Diceros bicornis minor: one gene and its partner. The protein of the gene in region 1 interacts with the protein of each later gene in a pairwise test. Links are inferred from orthologs where the notes say so. Each region holds a gene or a part of one and is shown on either strand. Other genes may lie near its edges.

Region 1 (10,058 bases):
TCAATCAAGGAGACCTGTCAGTGTCTAGAGACACTGGTGACTCTCACAAGAGGGGGTGGTAGTATGCATTTGCTACTGGCATCTACTGGGTAGAGACCAGGGACGCCGCTAACCTTCCTACAAGGCACAGCCAAGTCCTGCAAAACAAAGACTTACCCAGCCCAAAATGTCAACAGTGCCGAGGGTGAGCAATCCTGGGCCAAAGAAAAGGCATCCTCTCCACCTCCCCCCAACTCTTTGGGGGCCCAAGTCCACCCTTTTTGACCCCTCTGATATTTTCTCATTTCAATCCCCACCTCTTGACATTTGGGGGTTCCTAACTCTACCTATCAAACTCACTAGCCTTCCTAGTCTCACTGTGTCTGCAGCCAGGGCCCAGCCTCTCCAAAGCACGGCGGGACCCCAGTTCCGGGGGCACCACTGCACAGGGACCAGGAGTTCTAGAAACATGGGTCCATGGGCCATATCTTGCTGGAACATTGACTGTATCTGAAGGAAAATAACTGAAACATTATTGTTATATTTAAGCCAACACTGATGTGTAACAGAGCAGACTATAAACACTTTCAAACGGAAACAGGAACTTTAATTAAAAAGGGGGGGTGCGGGGCCGGCCCGGTGGCATAGTGGTTAAGTTCATGTGCTCAGCTTCAGCGGCCCAGGGTTTGCAGGTTCAAATCCTGGGCATGGACCGATACACCGCTCACCAAGCCATGCTGCAACAACATCCCCCATACAAAACAAAGGAAGATTGGCACAGACGTTAGCTTAGAGCCAATCTTCCTCAGCAAAAAGAGAAAGATTGGCAACAGATGTTAGCTCAGGGCCAATCCTCCTCAGCAAAAAAAAAAAAAAAAAAATGGAGGGGGGAGGGGACTGGCAAGTAAGACATACTGATCTCTCCTCCAGGCTCCCCAGACCTGTCGGGTCTCAGTTCCCTCACTGCCATTTGGTGGAGGCATGGTAGGAAAGAGGGCACCCCTGACTGAAGTCTTGGGACAGGACAGGGCCAAGTTCAGGGCCAGAGGCAGATCTTGTAGCCACATGACTCTAACAGCTTGCTCTGACTACACCACTCATTTACTGATCCCCCAACTGGGGAAGCCTGAACAGCACTGAGTGAAAACTGGGGACCTCTGGAATTCTAGATTCTACAGCTCTGACAGACAGGCAATTCTAACACTTTCTTAGACCAAAGTTGCCAACTTCTTATTTTGCCAGTGAGTAAGGATCAAAAAAACTACAATCTATTATCATCTTTATTTCAAAAAATGTGTTTTAACACCAAAGACAAATATAAAAGACCTAATTTCAGAATAAAGAACAATCCTTGCCAAAAAAGGGCAGTGAGCAAGTCAGCCCACCAACAAGCATACGGTAAATCAATCACTCAGCAAATGAAGGCACACAAACATACCGCGTGTGTTTTCCCAAATGCTGCATGTGCCTCCTCAGGGCTCCTGGAGCGACAGGAAACCCTTTGCTCGTCTGACCCAGGATGTTATCACGGAACGGCTCCAGCAGCACATACAGGGTTGACAGGAAGGAGGAATCCAAGCAGAGAAGCCAGGGACTGCCTGATGCAGCCGTCTATGCAGAGAGGCCGGGGCCTGAGCAAGGCTGCAGACACCACATCCCCCTTCCTGTGTGGCCCCAGTGATCCCTGCCCCACTGGCACTGACCCCACAACTCTTTGGAACCTGAAGTCCTTCAGGAGACCTGACCTCCTTACAATGTGTCTTCAGTGAGCACTGCCAAGAACTTGGAATAAAGTGAAATAAGACTAGAATCAGAGTAAAACTGTAAAAATCACCCCATGACAGACTGAAGCAAAAATCTGCAAATGGCCCCCCATAGTCTGAGACCATTACACACCCGATCCGTCACCCACTGCCCTGGCTTTCCAGCTAGGCTGACCACGAGCCTGTGTTTACAACATAGCCTTCCCAGGTACTCCACTTCAAGGAAGCCAGCAGCTGGCTGGAGAATGCTGGTGGTCATGCTCCCAGGCAGTCTGGGGTTTTTCCATCAATGAAATGAATAAACTGGCTTTATCACCCTATCATTAGTGTCTGTGAGCTCACTGGTGTGAGCACTGCTGAGTACCAGACCCACTCTGGGGTGCTGATTAATCAGGCTGGAAGCCAGGACAGTTCAGGGCCAGACCGTGGCCTCCAGCTATCTTCCCAAAACTGTGAATGCCCACGTTGGAGACCTGGGAGACGGCCAGCTGGCCTCTAGGCTGCAGAAACACTGATCTGCCTCAACTCAATGGAACTTGAACAGGCCCCACCAAAGGACAGGTGTCTTCGCCTAGTGACCCCTATTCCAACACACGCTATTCATCTGAACCCTGTGGAGCTTGAACCAGCCCCACATAAGGACAAGTGTCTTTAGAGACCCCTGTCCTGAAACACCCGCTCATCTGAACTCTATGGAGCTTGAAGAGGCCCCACGTAATGGCAGATGTCCTTACCTAGAGACCCCTATCCTGACACATGCCACTCACTTGAAGTATATGGAACTTGAAGAGGCCCCACCTAAGGGCAGGCGTCTTCACCTACAGACCCCTATCCCGACACTTGGCACTCACTTGAATTATATGGAGCTTGAACAGGCCCAGAGCAGATGTCCTTATCTAGAGACCCCTATCCTGACACACGGCACTCACCTGCATGCTCTGCTGGTACTGCATCTGCAGAGAACCCTGGGCAGAGCTGGAAACATCCAATCCAGATCCTCCCTCCACTCTTTGAGAAATGAAGTTGTTCAAAGATCTCAGGGTGGATAGGACGGTGGTGTTTTCCCCCAGGTCCTCCATGGCCATTTCCCTTCTGGAGGAAGACAAGGGCAGGGTCACAGTGAACATTTCCATGTGCCATCAACTCTGACAGCGGCCCGTTGAGGGGGTACCTTTGGGCAGTCCCACTCCCTTAACGCTCTCTCAGAGACCTTAAAATATTCCAGTGTCCATAACCACATTCTTCGGGATTAAGTGGGAGCACATACTGCCAATTTATCAGAGAAGAGATGGACGCATAAAAAGACAACACACCACAAAGTCACTGACGGTCAGAGTGTTGCCAGCACACCAGCTCCCAGCAGGAGGTGGTCAGCAGGCAGGTGGCACATCTCCCACATAAACACTCACAAAAAGTCTGGCCTCTGGGAATCAGAAACAGAGCCACAACAGTGGCAATAAGGATGATGACCATAGCAATGCTAATTATAATATACGTTAACGATGACACGAATAAGATTACTACTATTTCCAACCAGGTACCAAAAAGAAAGGTATCCGACATTTACTGAGCACTGAGACTTCTTGAGCCTCAGTTTCCTCATCTGTAAACTGAGGATCATGAAACCCACTTTGCAAAGTTGTAAGGATTACAGTGTCTATAAGAAGTCTCCAGAGGGCAGATGGTGTGACTGTTGTCACACTTTTGACTATCATTCTGCTTGTAATTTTACACAGGACATATCAATCTTCACAACAGGCGGATGAATTAGGTCTTTCACGCTTATTTTAGAGACGATATAAGAGGAGGCTTCAAAAACTTACTGAACTGAGATTGGAACGCGGGTGTCTCTGGCTCCAAAGGTTGAGTGTGTTCCACAAGCACATGTATGAAGGGCCGAAGACAAGCAGCGGCAAAGAACCTGCATCTCCAAACCTGTGCTTATTACGCCTCACACCAGGCCGTCTAACAGCCAGAAGGCGTGGAGCGTCCCAGGCACAGTCAATAGCCAGAAGGTGTGAATGCCTACAGGTGCACTGTTTTTCCCCCTTAGGAAAACAGCCGGCTCTCACTGATTTCCCCTACGTATTAGACTGAAAACACCTCTCCCCACTCAAAAAGAAGGTGCAGAATCTTAGATTCTGAATTTCCCATTTAACAAGGACACTGGTCTTGTGCATGCACAGCCCTTGTCTTCTGCAGGCCATCGTTCCCATCCCTGAACATCATACCTGTTTGCCCCACCTCTCATCCCTACTATCAGTGGAAATGGGTTGGAAGAGAGAACAGAAGCACCCAAGTGCCCTGAGCCTCGCACATATAGGCCTGCATGGTGGGAGGCAGCATCACTGGACGGCAAATCCTTCCATTTGCCAAGATTAGACCAGGGCCATACTCTCCATCCCATGATGGGAAATTTAGCCAACATATCCTCTTCTCGAGAGGCATCCCGGGTAAGAACTGATGGACGTAATACACTAGAATGAAAAAGAACACATACATTTTCAACTGTCTGGAACTAAGCCGCTCCATAAGGCAGGCGATAAGGCAGCAGCTCAAACTTCATCCTCCTTATCCAAGAGACAAATCTTCCAGCCACCTAACCACTGAATCTGAACCCCTCTCAACAGAAACCTGGAGCTGGGAGTCCAGAGCACGCTGCCTCTCCCCTGCCCTTCCCGTCCTTGGCAAAACGATGGCTGCGGAAACCTAAAGAAATTACGAGGATGCTCATCACTCCGCGACACCACTTCACGCCGCCAAGAGCACCATCACGCGGGCCTGATAGTTCGCCACCCGCTTTTTCTGCTTTCTCCAAACTCATACTAGGTGTGAAACGCAAGCCCTCATTCGACGAGCTGCAGGCAGCGTGACTCTGGGCAAGTCGCCTCCCATCTTCCCGCCGGTCTCCTTAGTTGTAAAGCGAAGTGGCAGCACTACCACACTGCTCAACTGAAGAGGCGCAGGGGACAGCGCTGGTCACCGCACAGGGGCGGCACCCGAGGGAAGAGCATCTCTTCCCCTGGACAGTCTCGGGGGAGGCCGCCTGCGCCTGAGGACCAGCCGGGGAGAGCGGACAGGTGAAGAGCCCCTCCTCCGTGGGCGCCCCGGCCCTCGCGGACACTGGCCATTCCCCGCTGCCACCCCTCGGAGGGAGGGGGTCCCCCGCAGAGGCCGCCGAGAGAAGCCGGGGCTCGGAGCCCGGCCCAGGCTCAGCGGGACGGCGCCGGGAGCAGAGGGGGCGTGGAGGGGGCGCCGGTCAGGGCCCCAGGGGCGGACAGAGGGAGCGGCACCCGCGCCCATCCACGGCGGGCAGCCCTGGCCCCAGCCTGGGCAGGCAGTTGCAGCCCAGGCCCCAACGGGCCGCCCCTCCCAGCCTCCCGCCCCGGCGCCCACCCGGGACCCCGGCCGCCGCGCCCACCCAGCCGCTCACCTCCCCCCACCTCACCTGCCGTCACCTCACCACCGCCACCACCGCCACCGCCGCCCCAGCCGCCGCCGCCGCCGCTCAGATCTCCCTCCTCTCCATCCGCGCCCGCGTATCGCGAGACGTGTGGCTGCGCTCTCGCGAGACCTAGGCGGGGCCGGCGGTGGAGCTCCGGGTCTGCGCACCGGTGGGTTCTGGGGCCTCCGCGTCGCCCTTTGGAGCCCCCACCCCGGGGGACCCCGCTCGAGACCGAATGCCGGACCGCGGACTGTCCGGGTGCCCCGCCCCCGTAGGATGGGCTTCCACTGAGGCGGTTGCCTCGCACCGTACAGTGCGGAAGAGCACCGCCCGACGGTGGCCTCGGAGGGCCAAACTTTCCTGCACTCTCGACTGGTCCCCACATTTTGCTACTGTGGTATTGGCTTGAGTTAGCGCGTTCTTTTACTTTTCTCTGGGCCCACTGGGAAAAGTAAAGTACCATGCTACTAGGCCTTCCTCCCCCTGCCCTGTGGGCCGCCAGGGTCCCCCCGTCTGACCCCCTCCCACCTTGTTCTCAGGGCGCAACAGCCAACAGGCCCCTCTTGAACTAGAGCAACCCCGTCCTGTAACTTGGGTATCACTGTTTCTGGGTTCTCATCCCTCCTCCTCCCTGCACCCCCAGGCCGGGGCTGAGCGCCCCAGGGTCGTCGCTGAATACCCTTCTTCCAGACACAATACTCGTTTGTGTGCCCCGGGAATTCAATGCGATGGGGACAGGGACGATGGGGACAGGGACGATGGGGAAGAGGTGGGTCAGGGGGTTCTCTGTACTCAACTGACTACAGCCAAAAGTAAAATGAATAACTTTAAAATCCGGCCTGCAGCGTACTCCAGGGAGCTGGACCAAGCCCTGGAACTCCTGGAGATTCCTGAGCATCTAGCATTTCTTCCGCAGCTGGTCTTTGGGATGTAATCATCCTCACAGTCAATGAACTTGTCGAGGGATAAACACACCTCCACAAATGACTTTGAAGAAACCAGCAGATTTTTTTAAAAATGGAAATCCCTCAAGATGACACAATCTATATAGTTTTACAAAGCAGCACCAAGTTCCTGGAGGAGAATAAAAGGAAATAAACGAACACACCACATCGCAGCTTGCTTTGGCAATTACCTTTATGGTCTTGGGAGCCTGGAGCATTACAGCAACACACATTCGCAGGAAAAACCAAAGCGCACCCACCCTATGCATAATTCATACCAAATGTCTTCCCTCATTGCTCTGGGAACTCTCACTGCTTGAAGAATGGATGTTTCTAGATCATTCACCAAAGAAATGGAAATTAATCTCCAGTCTGAAATTTCAGATTTTTCTACATTGCACTGTATAGCCAAAATAACAACTGGAAACCTGTGTGCTGTGTTCTTGGAGCCATGGTGGAAACCTGTTTCTCTGTACATGCTAACAGTCTGTAAGATGAGAAGTGACATACAGGTGTGTGTATGTCTGTCTGTCTGTCTCAGCGTATTCGTGTTTATCCTTCTCACTGTCTTCTCATCCTTTTATCTTTGCCTGTCTCCTTCTCATAATGTCCTCTTCACAAATCATGTTAGAGAGACTGCTGTTTACCATATATCATGGACACTGGACACTGAATATAGTTTTGTCCTATCTTTTTGGTTTTTAAAAAAAAAAAAGGTCCCCCACTTGTCCTGCTTGCCGCATCTCCCAGATCAGATCAAGCTCCATCTCCCCAGCCACACTTCAGGAAAGAGCTCAGGCTACATTTGCAGTGAAAAAGGACCAGAAGAGGCAGAAGAAACTCTCAGTCCTTCACAGACCCCTTCACTCTTCGGTATTGTGTGGCCAAGAGGTACACCTCTGATGACTCTTTCCTGCTGGCTTCAGGTTTCACAGTCCTTGTGTTCTGGAACTCGTCTGTCAGTCTCTTCTGTAACCGATGGCTTTGACTTCCAGCCCAGGTTTTACAAAGGAATGTTCCTCCGGGGTGCAGGATGTCTGGAGCCAAGTCCAGAAGGGACAAGCACAGACTGATGAGCCTGTCGTGATCGAGGCCTCGGATCCCTGTGGCATTGGGTGCCATGTCACTCAGAATCACATCTGCTCTCCCACCAGGAAGCAGTTCTCGGATTCTTTGGAAGGTTCTTGGGTCAGTCACATCAGCAGGGCACAGAAAAGTTGCTCCTTCCAGGGGGAAGATGTGAAGAAGATCTACCCCAAGTACAAAGCCAACAGGAGCGCTGGGATCTAAGGAAGAAATGGTGAATGCGTTATTTATTTGCACCTTGCATCTTCCCACAAAAATACATGCAACAAAATAATGAAGTAGAAATAAAAAGTCAGGACAAAGGAAAAGAGCTACTGTGCAAATATGCAGACACAGGCTTTTTCCCACTTTCTATACATCCTATAAAAACACATGGTGGGGAGTGGTGGTCCTTCACTCTGCATCTGAGGAAACTGAGGCCAAGAGGAAAAGTGACTGTCCCAGAGTCACAGGGAGAGATAGGCAGACCTGGAGCCACACCCTGAGACTTGACTTCATGTCTGATTTCATTTCACTCCATGAGGCCTGCTCTCCATGAAAGGGTTCTTATCTCTGAGTGGTCTTTGTGATAAACTAAAATAGAAAATGACACACTCATATATCAAGTGCCTCTGGATTAAATCAACAAATCCATTCTGCAGCTTAATCCAATCTCTTTTGATATAGAAACTATTAGAAACAAGCCAGAGAAGGGGAAGATAGAGAGATGCCAAATAAGGTACCAAAAGTAATGTCTTGCCATATTTGAGTGATAGCCACTGTGAGAGAAAAGATGTCATTGTTTCACATTACCAAAAACAAGACACCGCGCCTGCACGACTGCTGTCCCCAGCCTCCCCCTCGTCCTCCTCTCGTACTGCACCCACATTCAAAGCGCTCCTCCTCACAAGCCCTGACGTCCTCTCTCTGCATCACTTCCCTCCACAGAGGGGGACCTTTGCTCTGCTGACACACATCAGGGTGGGTAAGGTAAGGGTACGGCCACAGATTTGCTAGCTCAGTCTGCTTAATAAAAGGCGGGGGGGAAATGTGTATTTTATTTCTCTCTAAATATCGGAAGTCCAGGTATTTTGCAGGTGAAAACTCTCCATTTCCGGCCGTGGAAAGTGGGACAGCTCATATCTCATGTTAGGCACTTGACCCTCTTTAACACCCATGTACCACAACCTCAGCAGCGTCCACTCAAGGCAAACGGCTTTGGTCGCATTTTTGCAACTTCTGGGAGGAAAAGAAACCAAGTCATGTTATCCACACAATCCTTGCTTCTGCCACTTCCTCCTACAAGTTCAACCTGGCCGCTTTTCCGCTTCTCCTGAAGAGCAGTTAGGGGAACAGCAGCCACTCAAACCAGCTGGTAGCAAGTCTGTGGAGGGGCCCAGCAGTGGAGAAGGAGCTGAAGTTTCTGACACAACTTCATTCACTTGGTCGATAAATAGTTAGTGAGCTAAAAAAAATTTAAACTGTTCTAGAGCCCCTTAAGGCATCCCACCCACAGTAATGCGGCTGATGAATGAACTTGGGGAGCAGCATCCCCAGGTCTATACTTTTAGCAGGTCACTCAACTCCTCTGAACCTCAATCTACTCATTAGGAAAATGGGCACAAATGTCCCCACTCAAAGATGTTTGGGCGAGATCTTTGTGACTGTCACATGTCATACAATGCCAGTGGATGCAGCACCCTCAGACTTCCCGGCAGGAAATACTAATGGTAAGGATATTCACCCCACATTGTGCATAGTAGCAGAAGACTGGAAAGCAACCTTTCCCAGACGAGGAGCCAGGATAACTGCCAACAGCACGCCATTCTCTAGAATACTAGGCAGCTAGTTACAAGGATGACACAGTTTTCTAAATTTTATGGGTGGTTGGTTTATCTGTTTATTAGTCAGGGGAACCTTTTTGATATAGAATATCTTTGACAAAACCCTAAAATATAAAACAGATAAAAGCTGAATCCCTTGGGTTGAGCCAGAGTGGAGAATCCAGAGGCCTGGCTGCGAGGGCTCCCCTGAGCAGCCCCAGCAGGACCTCCAAGAAACCCACGGCTTCCAGCAATAGGATCCAGAAACCTCTGGGGTTGCTTCAGTTGTACTGTCACAGAAAGATGGCAATATATCAGTAAGTGAAAAAAATAGCTCCATTAAGGCTCCAAATCAGCAACAAGAGTGTGGTGTAATATCACTTTCGAAAAAGAAGTTATATATGTGTAGCTATGTTTGCAAACACAAATTCCGGAAGGATGCACACCAACATATTAAAGCACATATTAATGTGGTGTGGTCTGAAGTGGTTTTAATTTTCTTTATACCTCTCTACTTTATCTTTCATTTTGAAAATGTCAGTGTCCTATCTTTACCATTATTACTACTAAACCACCAAGTCAGAAGTATGTGCCTTCACCAAGCGGCTCAGCTGCCCTGTATCCCTGGGCAGAGGGCAGCTGGCTGGCATCTACAGACTCCTGGTGGTCAGGGGCCCTAAGAGCAGCAGGAGGCCCCACCTGTGCCTGCAGCATTGACTCGCTGCACTGCCACCTGGCTCCACGCACCAGGAGCTGCCCCACAGTCCAACACCCGGAGGCCGGGCCGCAGGATCCGGTGCCTCTCGTTCACCTCCAGAAGCTTGAAGGCACTTCGACACCGGTAACTCTCCACCTTCGAAGCCTTCACAAACGGGTCTTTCAAATGCCGCGTCAGCCACAGGTGCTCAGCGCCTGTCCGACCCTTGTAGTGACTCCCAGCAGTGTGGAAGCTTTGATGCCGAAGGGAAGCACACAGCAGCTTCAAGGACCTGATGAGAGAAAAAGGGAGCAAGCAGGTTGGCATCATATAGACCCACAG
Region 2 (9,619 bases), on another chromosome or scaffold:
CTCACCAACCCCAGCATGGGCCCTCACATCCTGTAGGTGGAGCCTCTCGCTTTGTTTCCACACAGTTCGTCTGGACAGGCGGGAGGTTACAACTCCTCGCCTAGACAAGTGCTCTGGATCGCGCGTCTCCAACTTTGAGGGTGGGGGAAGGGAGCGTCTGGGAGTTTCTAAGAGGAACTAGGGAAACTGCTGGACACGTACAAGTGCTCTAAGCAGCCAACTAGTGACTTCAAACACCTGGGAAAGTCAGTTTCAGGTGAGTTCATTTTCCTGCTGATGTCATTATACAAGAGGTTAGAATAGTTCTCAGCCTTGGCTGCACGTTGGAATCACCTGGTTATTTAAAAAATACTAACGCCTGTGTTCCACTCCCAGAGATTCAGATTTAATTGGCCTGGGGTGCAGCCTGGATTTGGGGTTTTAAAACTTCCTTCGGTGATTCTGTTTAGATAAGGTTGAGAATCACTGATTTAGGAAGCAAAGACCTACAGGGAATAAAGACTTACATACTGTAAATATCAGATACATCACAGTTCTTGGGGAAGGGGTGGGGGCCAGAGAGAAAATGGAACGCCTGATCCCCTTAGAGCCTCACCTAGGTGGAACCACAAAAAACAAAACCCTCGGGGATGCTACCTGAATTATAAGCTTTTAAGCTAGGAAGAGCCCACTTCTGGAATAGGATTTGTAAAGTAGGTTGATAAATTAGTAGAAAAATGTGAAATTGTTTTACACTGGTAATGACAGTGAAATGTCTTAATCTCAAATGTAACATGATTCTACCTCAGGAAGCTGACCTCTCTCCCACCTCCCCCTTTCTCTAGTGACATCTGTCTCTTCCTCCTCAAATCTTGACTATTTTTACTAGTTAGGAATTACTCTAAATATAGCATTTCCTCACAAACATCCCTACAGGTTCCAGACAACCTAAAATGTCTTAAAGGAGAAGGTGATCAATATACTACAAAAAAAAAAAAAAAAAAATGGCTCATATTAGGGACAGTTTTCCAGTGGAAAAAAATGAACCAAAACAGTTTCAAAAATCTCCCTCCCCTGCTGGCTCTGCCCCCGGCCCAGCTGGCTTTAAATATCCTCTTTTCCACTTCTGTCCCACCTCATTCCAATGCTCCCTTAAACAAGACTTTTCAATAAAGACATGATAGCACTCCATAATTACAATAATTATGATCTTTTTTTTCCTTAAGAATTGTAGTAGCTTTTTATCTCCTTCTCTTGCCTTCAGTCTTACTGGGCTATTTTCAAATTCTCTGCATTCTTTTCCTTATAAGGAATATCTCTCCTTGATCTATCAGCGGCTCTTTTGAAAAAACTAAATAAACGTCCTGCTGGAGAATTTGGGGGAGACAGACATCCTCCATTTAGCCATATACGGAGCAGACATCTGATCTACATTATACAAAGCAGGCACAGAGTTATATGTGTTTTTTGGCTCTTTTTCTAAAGCCAGGTAGTTTGTAACTTAAATGTTTTAGCTAAATCAGTGCTTCCCTGAACCCCCTTTCCCAGGAATCTTGATTTTCACTGAAAATTTCTTTTTGTCAGATTCTAAATGTCCTATGTCTGGATTTCTCATTTACAAAGCACACTTGGAAATTACATTTCAAGCCTTTCACGCCACAAAAAGCCTGTACTGATTTCAAGACCCAAGACCCTCCAGCAATTTGCATTTTACTCTCATACAAAAAATTCTGCGGTTGAACTTGGTAGTTCAACTTCCGGGCATAGCTTTCCCGGGTGCTCATGCATTCTTGGAATTGTTATACCAACTTCCCAAGGAATTCTTGCCTAATTGGGCCTCTAGGCTTAATTAGCTTCTGGAATGGAATCCAACGGTGTGAGAGGAAGTCAGTCCTTTGGAAATCTAATGGTTGGCTTGACTTATTCAGCAGAAGAGGCCAGCTCTTCAGCGAAAAAGATTCCAAAGGGCAGTGGACAAAGTGCTGGTAGAGCTTTGGCGGCCTATGCATCACCCCTGAAACTATGCGGTGGTTGTCAGAGGGCTGACAGGTGGGGGTGGGGCGAGCAGGAAGGGCAGGGGGCAGCGGGCTCACTATACCATATAAAGCACTGAGCTATATATAACTCCCAGCTTACTTTCTGGATCTGGTGCCCTCAGACTGCAGACCCAAGCAAGTATCATCTTCCCAGGCAGATCTTAAGGGGTGGATTAAGACTTCCCTGGTGAGAAAGGAGGCCTCAAGTGTCTCTCTGCCCCACCATCAAGCTCGGTCTTCTGAGTAAACCTAGCACCATGCCATTCCTTCCATCTAGAGGCCAGGCCCTCTGGATCCTGACTAGACCCACCACTGAAACCCAGGCCTTCCCATCCACCAGACATGGCAAAAGGAAAGAGAGGAAAGAAAACTAGGCATTCTGTCTGCACAAACCTTGGTGATGACACCTCAGAAGTTTTCTGCCACCAGGGAGGCAAGGTTCACCTCCAAAGTCCAATTTCAGCTGCTCTATGCTCCCAGCTTCTCACCCACCCACCTCCACCCCCAGGGGTGGGGAGAAGGAAGGAGGAAAAAAGAAAGAGGAATGGATGAAATATAAATGAAGGTGTGCAGTAGCAGTCCCAGGCAGCATCCAGTGCTCTGAGCCATGGCGAGGCTGTGTGCAGATGTCCAGCAGGAGGAGGTGACCCTCCTCCATTGCTCTCTGGCCCGTGTGGTGACCCCGGAGTGACTACGCGGGGCAGGAGGTGAGGGAAGCAGTGTGTGCGTGCACTTACGTCGGTGGCCTTTTTCTCCGCCAGCTCCAGCTTCTCCTGGGCATCTTTGAGAGCCTCGGAGTATTTGTCCAGTTCATCTTCGGTGCCCTTGAGTTTCTTTTGCAGCGACACTAGCTCATCTTCCAGCTGGGAGTTGGCCGTGGGGGACGGGAGGGGGGGTGGGGGGGTGGGTGCAGCAGGCAGCGTGATCCCGCAGGGGAAGGGTGTGGGTGCACAGAACCAGAAGGACAGGGACAGAGGGAGAGAGAGAGGGAAAGACAGGGAGGGAGAGAAAGAGAGAGAGACAGAGTTAGCCATTCGTGCGCCGCACCGCGCCGCGCGCCCCGGGTACCTTGGCGGCGGACTCGTCGGCGGCCAGGAGGCTGTCCTCCGCCTTGTGCAGCTCCTCCAGCACCCGGTCCCGCTCGTCCTCCGACGCCCGCATTAGCTTCTCCATCGCCGCGATGTCCTCCTCGAGCTGGGGGCAGCGGCGGGCGGGCGCGGGCGGCCGGCACGGACCGGGTGTTAGACACACACACAACACAAGGGCGCCGGGTTGGCTGAGGGCCCTCGGGCTTGGGGCGCCACCGAGTTGGGACTCAAGGGTCCCTGGGTAACCTCCTCTCGCTCCGAGCTGGAACCGCACCGTGGCCCACCCCGCACCTCCACCTCCCCCGGGAGGAGACTCCTGCTGAGGCCTCAGCGGGCTCAAGTCCACAACTTGGGGGCGCAGAAAAAGCCCCTGTTTCCCTATCTTTCGGGCCGCACTCTCTATTCTGTCCTATCTTTGTTCTTAGGAAAAAAATCCATGACTTCCTCCCCTCCCCCGTCTCTATCCCAGTTGAAGTTTATATTCTCCCCAGTCAAAAGTCCAGAAGAACGACTAACACTTTCTGGACTTGATTCCCTTCAACCCCTCAACCCTACCGACCCCCCCATCCAAAATTGATTCCCGATGCTGAGGATCAAGTGCCTCTAGGACTTGGATTGACTTCGCGAGCTCTGGGACCAGAGAAGGGAAACAAGCGTCCTCAGACGAGACTAAAGAGTTAGAATAAGCCTGAGTCTTCTCTTCCCCTCCCCCTTCTTAGACGCGCGTCCCTGGCCGCCCAGGAGTAGGGGGTGGCCCTCCGAGTCCTGGGGGTGAGGGGCCGGGCGGGGGTGCCAAGCCCGGGTGCCAGGGCTCGGGGCCACCGGGCGGACGGAGCGCGCGGGCGCACGGGGGGCGCAGAGCCGGGGAGGCGCAGACCTGTTTGCTCCTGTCCTCCGCCGCCTTCTTATCGGCCTCCGCCTGCTCTGCTCGATCCAAGGCGTTCTCCTTGTCGAGCTTCAGCATCTGCATCTTCTTCTTGATGGCGTCCATGGTGGCGGCGGCGAGGGGCCCTGGGGCTGCGGCGGGAGCGGCGAGGCGAGAGCGCGGTGGGGCGGCCGAGCCGGAGTGCGAGCGCAGAGCAGCCTGCTGCTCCCAGATATGTACTTTCCCAAGGGGGCGACCGCATTCCTCAAGACAGCCAATACTTTTTTGGAAAAGCTTTTTTCTCCTGCCCCTTTTCCCCCTCCTTCCTCCGCCCCCTGCCCCCTCCCCGCTCCTCCCGCGGGGGCCGCTCGCCCATTCGCTGCCGCCTGCCGGCCTCCCAGTTGACGGTGGATATGTCTATATATGGGGACCGGAGCCGCCGGGGCGGCGGCCGGGTGAGGCCGCCCTGTTTCCAAACCTGCACGCCAGGGAGAGGGCACCGGGGCCGAGCCCGGGCCGGGGCGCTAACCTCTGCGCTGCGCGGCTCCTCCTCCCAGGGCGGACGCCCCGCCATCGAGGGCCCCAGGCGAGCCCGCCCTGAGCCACAGGAGGCCGGGGCAATAGGGCAGGTAGAGGGTGCGCGTCGCCCCCCTGAGCCGCCAGATCCCGGCGCGCACAGCATCAGGCCCCGAGGCCCCCAGCAGCCGCCCCACTCGGCGCCCGGGCCTGCGCGCTCCCTGCACTCGCCCAGCGCTTCCCCGGCAGCTCTCCGCTTGCCGGGTGTCATCCGGGCGCTCACTCTGGAAACTCAACCGGAGCAGAGAAAGGACGAGTTGGGAGGAAGTTCTGGGGGCCCCTCCTGAGACTTTCTCTGCTGGTGCGGGTCAGAATGTCTGGGCATCTTTCTGCGTGCCCTTCCTCCAAGGAGAGGAACAGTCGAATATTTTAGGGACACAGGACTCGGCTTAGTTCTGCTTTTGCCTGTGTGTGGTGCTTCTGCAAAGGTGCTTGTGTGTGTGCTAGTGTGTCGGTGTGGGAATTTAAGGGGAAAGAATATTGAGTGTAGACTCAGGCAACTCAGTCTTTGGTCTCCATCATCAGCAGCTGTGTGACCTTGACGCATGGCCTCGGTGCTGCAGTTTCCTCATCTTTAAATCCCGGGGGGTAGATGATCCCTGAGGTGCCTCCAGATCTCACTTTTTATCATTTTTCTTGCACTGATTTTAGGGAGTCGGCCTCTTTCCATGTTAGGTGCTCAGGTACCAGGTTGCCAAAACGTGGGATAGATGTTACCCCAGCGAAGTCACTGTATCCACAGCCATAACCAGGAGAAGCGATCAGGCCAACTCTGTACAGACTGTGAGACTTCAAGCTCTGCTTGAAGGCAGGAGGATTTCCCTTACATCTCTGACTCCTCCCAGCCCCCAGTGGGGAAAAGCTTGCTCTTTTCAGAGCTTTGGTGGGAGGGGAAGAGAAGGGGCCACCCCAAGGCTCTGCCTGAGACTGGCTGCAGCAGAGTTGGTGAGGGTCTTCTTCACCCTCCCCAGAGAATAATTCACAACCTGTACTACATGGATACTGAATATTCCCTGGGCAGTATCTGAGTAGATTAGGCAGGTCAAACAACTTGTAAGTCCTTCAGAGAATAGTCAAGTTCCTCTCCAGGATTTTATCAAGTTTCTTCCACTAACCTAACAGCCCAGGAAGGAAAAGATACCCTGACCTAATGGTCAGAACATTAGATCTGTGTGCATAGGGGCTGTAGGGCACAGAAATTCACCAGAACCCCCCACCCACAGGAGCACTAACAAAGTTCAAGGCCTATGGGCTTGAACAGATGCATGGACCACAGGGAGCTGATTCTCCAGCTTGGAGCTCAGGACAGGGGGCAAGAGTAGGGACTCAAGAATTAGACCCTGGGATCCAAACCTGGCCTGGCCACCTCTTTGCAATGCGACCGTAGCCATGTTACAATCTCTTTAGGCCTCAGTTTTCTCTTCTGTAAAGTAGGTGTAAAAATTCTTCCCTGTTAGAGTTGTTACAAGGATGACAATGCAATAAAGAATGAAAAGCATTTTGTCTAGCACATAGCAAAGTGCTCAGTAAATTACTGCTGCTTGAGTGGCAGAGGGCAAGTTGTTTCCCCTCTCTGGGCCTCAGTTTTCTCATCTATAAAATGAGGCAACTGAACTAGAGAAACTCCTGGAGGGATCATATAATATTGACTTTTCTCCACTGTGCCTAACATAGCAGAGCAACTTGTTAAATTTTCCTTAAATGAACTGGTGCTACAGACAATTCCTCAAACACACCATTGGTGAGCATCTGCTCTATACCAGGCAGGCACTAGGCTCTGGTATCCCCAAATGAGTAAGACACATCCATGCCCTCCACGTGTTCAGCATGAGCAGGGGTATAAGAACTCAGAGGAGAAAGAAATAGAAATGACCAGTTCGGAGCAGACAGAATAAACTTCTCTGAAAAGTGCTGGTTTTTAGACTGATTTTAGAGGAAAGGTAGCAGATAGAGAGGAGGATACTGTATGAGCCAAGGGAAGAAAAAGGAATGTTTGATGGTGGTTGGACACTAGGTTTCCTTGGGGGTGAACTGGGACATGAGACTGGAAAGGTAGATTGGGGGCATATGGTAAAGGGACTGAATTCCGGGTTCAGACGTTCAGGTCTTATTGTTTGGGTTGAAGCCAAGCAGTCTTCTTCCCCTCCCTGCCCCTCTCACCCAGAGTTATGTTCAGAGGATGAAGACTGTGGTATCCAAGGGTGGAAATGGAGCTACACAGAGCCAATTTTTTAAATCCCTTGGTACCACATCATTGATCCCTAGATTGATGGGTTAACATAGCAGGTCCCTGGACTGAATCATTTCCATTTCGCCACTGTTGAGATTCTGCCCTATGAATAGCCTGACAGCCAGCCAGACCCAACCCAGCTTCATGGACTGCACCATCCATGACCTTTCTGTTGTGTAGGGCTAGGACAAGCAAAACATCATGACTTACACAATTTCTTCTGTACTGGACAGATCTCCTGGTCGCTGGATAGGATCAAGAGGGGTGGGCTGGACAGCCGCGTGCTGTAGTGTATATATCCCTCTTGCCCAGCTGACTGGCCATGACTCATGGACAGACCCAAAGGCTAACCAGAGACCTAGTGCTGTGGTCTGTCAGGCAAAGATGGACTAGGCCACTCAGCTTCTCTCTCACTGTGGTTTGAACTAAGGAATGTGGAAAATATGAATCATCAGCTGTGGCTGCTGAAACAAAAAGTGTTTGCAATCTTGGGCTAGAGATGCCTTGAATGAGGGTGATTAAGGCTATTCACAAATATTTGGGCTTTCTCCCCAATCAGGGTCTTGGTAGGATTATACATCTTCACCCAATTTAGTTAGGTGTGGTCATTTGACTTGCTTTGGCCAAGGAAATGTGAGCAGAAGTGATTTATGGCGGACACTTGAAGAGTTAACACGTCTCACTATGTTCATTTTTCAAGATTCTTGCTGCTCTGTCATTCTGGGTTCCCACGTGGCTATGGTAAGCAGAGCTCCCCCTCTCCTCCCAACTAACCCTTGGTGGACATGTAGCAAAAGAGAGATATAAACCTTTGCTATTTTAGGCCACTGAGATTTGGGGGTTGTTTGTTACTGAAGTGTTACTAGCATCTCCTGCCCTAATTCAGCACAACAGGTCATATATCACCCCAGTTATGAGGAAGCAGAGATGTCTGGTTATAGAGAAAGGAGGATGGAGCAGACATGTCAAGATAAACAGAAGCACCACTGAGAGAAAGAGAAGGGAGAATATGACCAAATTTCAGTGCCAGGAGTCCTTATAATAACCCCCTTTCTTTCCTGAGGTTACATGAGAGAGTCTGTGTTCCTTGAAATTAAAAAAGCTGACCGAATCACGGTGACATGGGAGCCTGCACAACATCCTTGGTCCAGAGCTTCTGTGTGAACATCAAGAATGTCTGTGGAATTTCCAGGAGATTTCCGTAGTGCTTGGTATTCAGTCATTTCTCAGTAAATGTTTGTTGAATGACTGTTTATTGGCTATTAGCCATACAATTAAGTAGGAGAAACAGTATCTGGGAAGGAAAGATAACAAAACTATGCTCAAAAGACATTATTTCCATTCAAAATATGGATTCTATGTTTTATTTTCTGAAGTATTGTGATAGAGTAGGACAAATATTTACTGAACACCTTTTGTGTGCCAGGCATTTAACTAGAGTTTATGGGATCAAGGAAGGTGGATAAGAGACCTGGATCTTTTCCTCCAGGATAAGTATTTATGTATGACGTGGGGTAAAATCCTCTCTCTGGGGGTCATTTAATGTGAATTTCCAACCACATTACCATTGACCCAAATGCTGCCTGGGCCCCCCTATAGCTGCGAGGATCATGTATCTCAGGTTTTCTAGGAGAGCTTTAACATTAAATATACTGTCCCTTCCTCTCATAAGAGCACCCATACTTGCCATACTACATTTTCCAATATTTGGTTAGAAAAGACAATCAACATGAGCAACAAGTGTGACGCCTTTAACAAGAAGACTCACTTGACTATGTACATGAGGGTTTGTTTGTTTAAAAACAAAAACAAAAATAAACTCTTATTACCTGATAGTCACACCTTGTTTAACAGCACTAGCTCTACCCGTGTACCATGACTCCCCCAGCGTCAACAGTGCTGACTCAAGCAATTATGGGAACGTGGAGAATCTATAATTAAATTGAGAGACAATTGCTTCTTCCACTGGGTGTTGGAATGCAGCGTGTTATGCTCACGGCTCATTGTCTCATGGAACAAGATACAGCCTGTTCTCCTCATACACAAGGGATCTTTCTTTCTCAAGGTTTGTGATGCTACCATCAAGCACCCAAGGAAAGTATGCTCTGCTTTCAGGGAGGGTTTGGAGCTCTGAGAAAGGTCTTCAGGCCACTGTGGATGCCTTTCTTCATTTAGTGACCATCTTTCATTGTTTAGAGGTCCCTGAGTATGCTTGCTACCTGGAGGGTTGGCACAGGCAAAATGGTTCTCCCAGTACAGAAAAAGACAATAAGTTAGTTCTGCCTTATATCTTATCTTCTGTTTTTCAACAGGAGCAACTATGTATAGATTTAATCAAGCTGACTTGTGGTGGAATTTAGCTGTCTCAAGAATAGCAATATTCCTTATTTATGTAAAGTCTAAAAAGCACTTTCAAGTTCATTATCTCCTTCTCACCACCTCTTATGACAGCATCAGGATGAGTGCTATTATTCTCATGCTATAGATTAGAAAACCAAGGGCAGTGACTGGCTCAAGGTCACCCAGCGGGGAGGTGGCGGTGCAGGGACAAGAACGTGAATGACCCAGCTCCCAACAACGGTGCGCTTTTCATGAACCGTTTCTCAGCCTGTTTTATATTAATATTTGATTTCATATTTAAAAGCAACACATTATAAGGTGAGAAGGAGATGAGAGGGGGCCACCAGAGGTCTCCTCTACATCTGAACATGGTTAAAAGGTGATAGTAATGAGGCAGGGGCTGAAAGGTGTCTTATCTTGCATGAGCCATCCCAGTACTGCAGCCCGGGCTCCTAAACCCACCCCCATTCTCAGCTGATGGGGGAACCTGGTGAGAAGGTGTGGT

Evidence for each region. The genes of interacting proteins can lie anywhere in the genome.
Region 2: the proteins of MAD1L1 (region 1) and TPM1 interact in binary tests that used the Homo sapiens proteins (3 or more experiments, as listed by UniProt). The two-hybrid records come from large-scale screens. The link is inferred for Diceros bicornis minor from reciprocal best matches to the Homo sapiens genes MAD1L1 and TPM1.

Annotation. Positions count from the first base shown.
Region 1 is NC_080765.1:12,312,332-12,322,389, reverse strand, and holds the start of MAD1L1 (mitotic spindle assembly checkpoint protein MAD1), read right to left. Parts: upstream 4,087-10,058; 5' UTR 3,670-4,086; coding exon 3,566-3,669; intron 2,835-3,565; coding exon 2,672-2,834; intron 1-2,671. Other genes in the region: MRM2 (rRNA methyltransferase 2, mitochondrial), read right to left, coding at 6,975-7,417, 9,719-10,008. UniProt on the Homo sapiens protein: Component of the spindle-assembly checkpoint that prevents the onset of anaphase until all chromosomes are properly aligned at the metaphase plate.
Region 2 is NC_080744.1:57,612,303-57,621,921, reverse strand, and holds the start of TPM1 (tropomyosin alpha-1 chain), read right to left. Parts: upstream 4,204-9,619; 5' UTR 4,095-4,203; coding exon 3,981-4,094; intron 3,210-3,980; coding exon 3,084-3,209; intron 2,879-3,083; coding exon 2,753-2,878; intron 1-2,752. UniProt on the Homo sapiens protein: Binds to actin filaments in muscle and non-muscle cells. Plays a central role, in association with the troponin complex, in the calcium dependent regulation of vertebrate striated muscle contraction.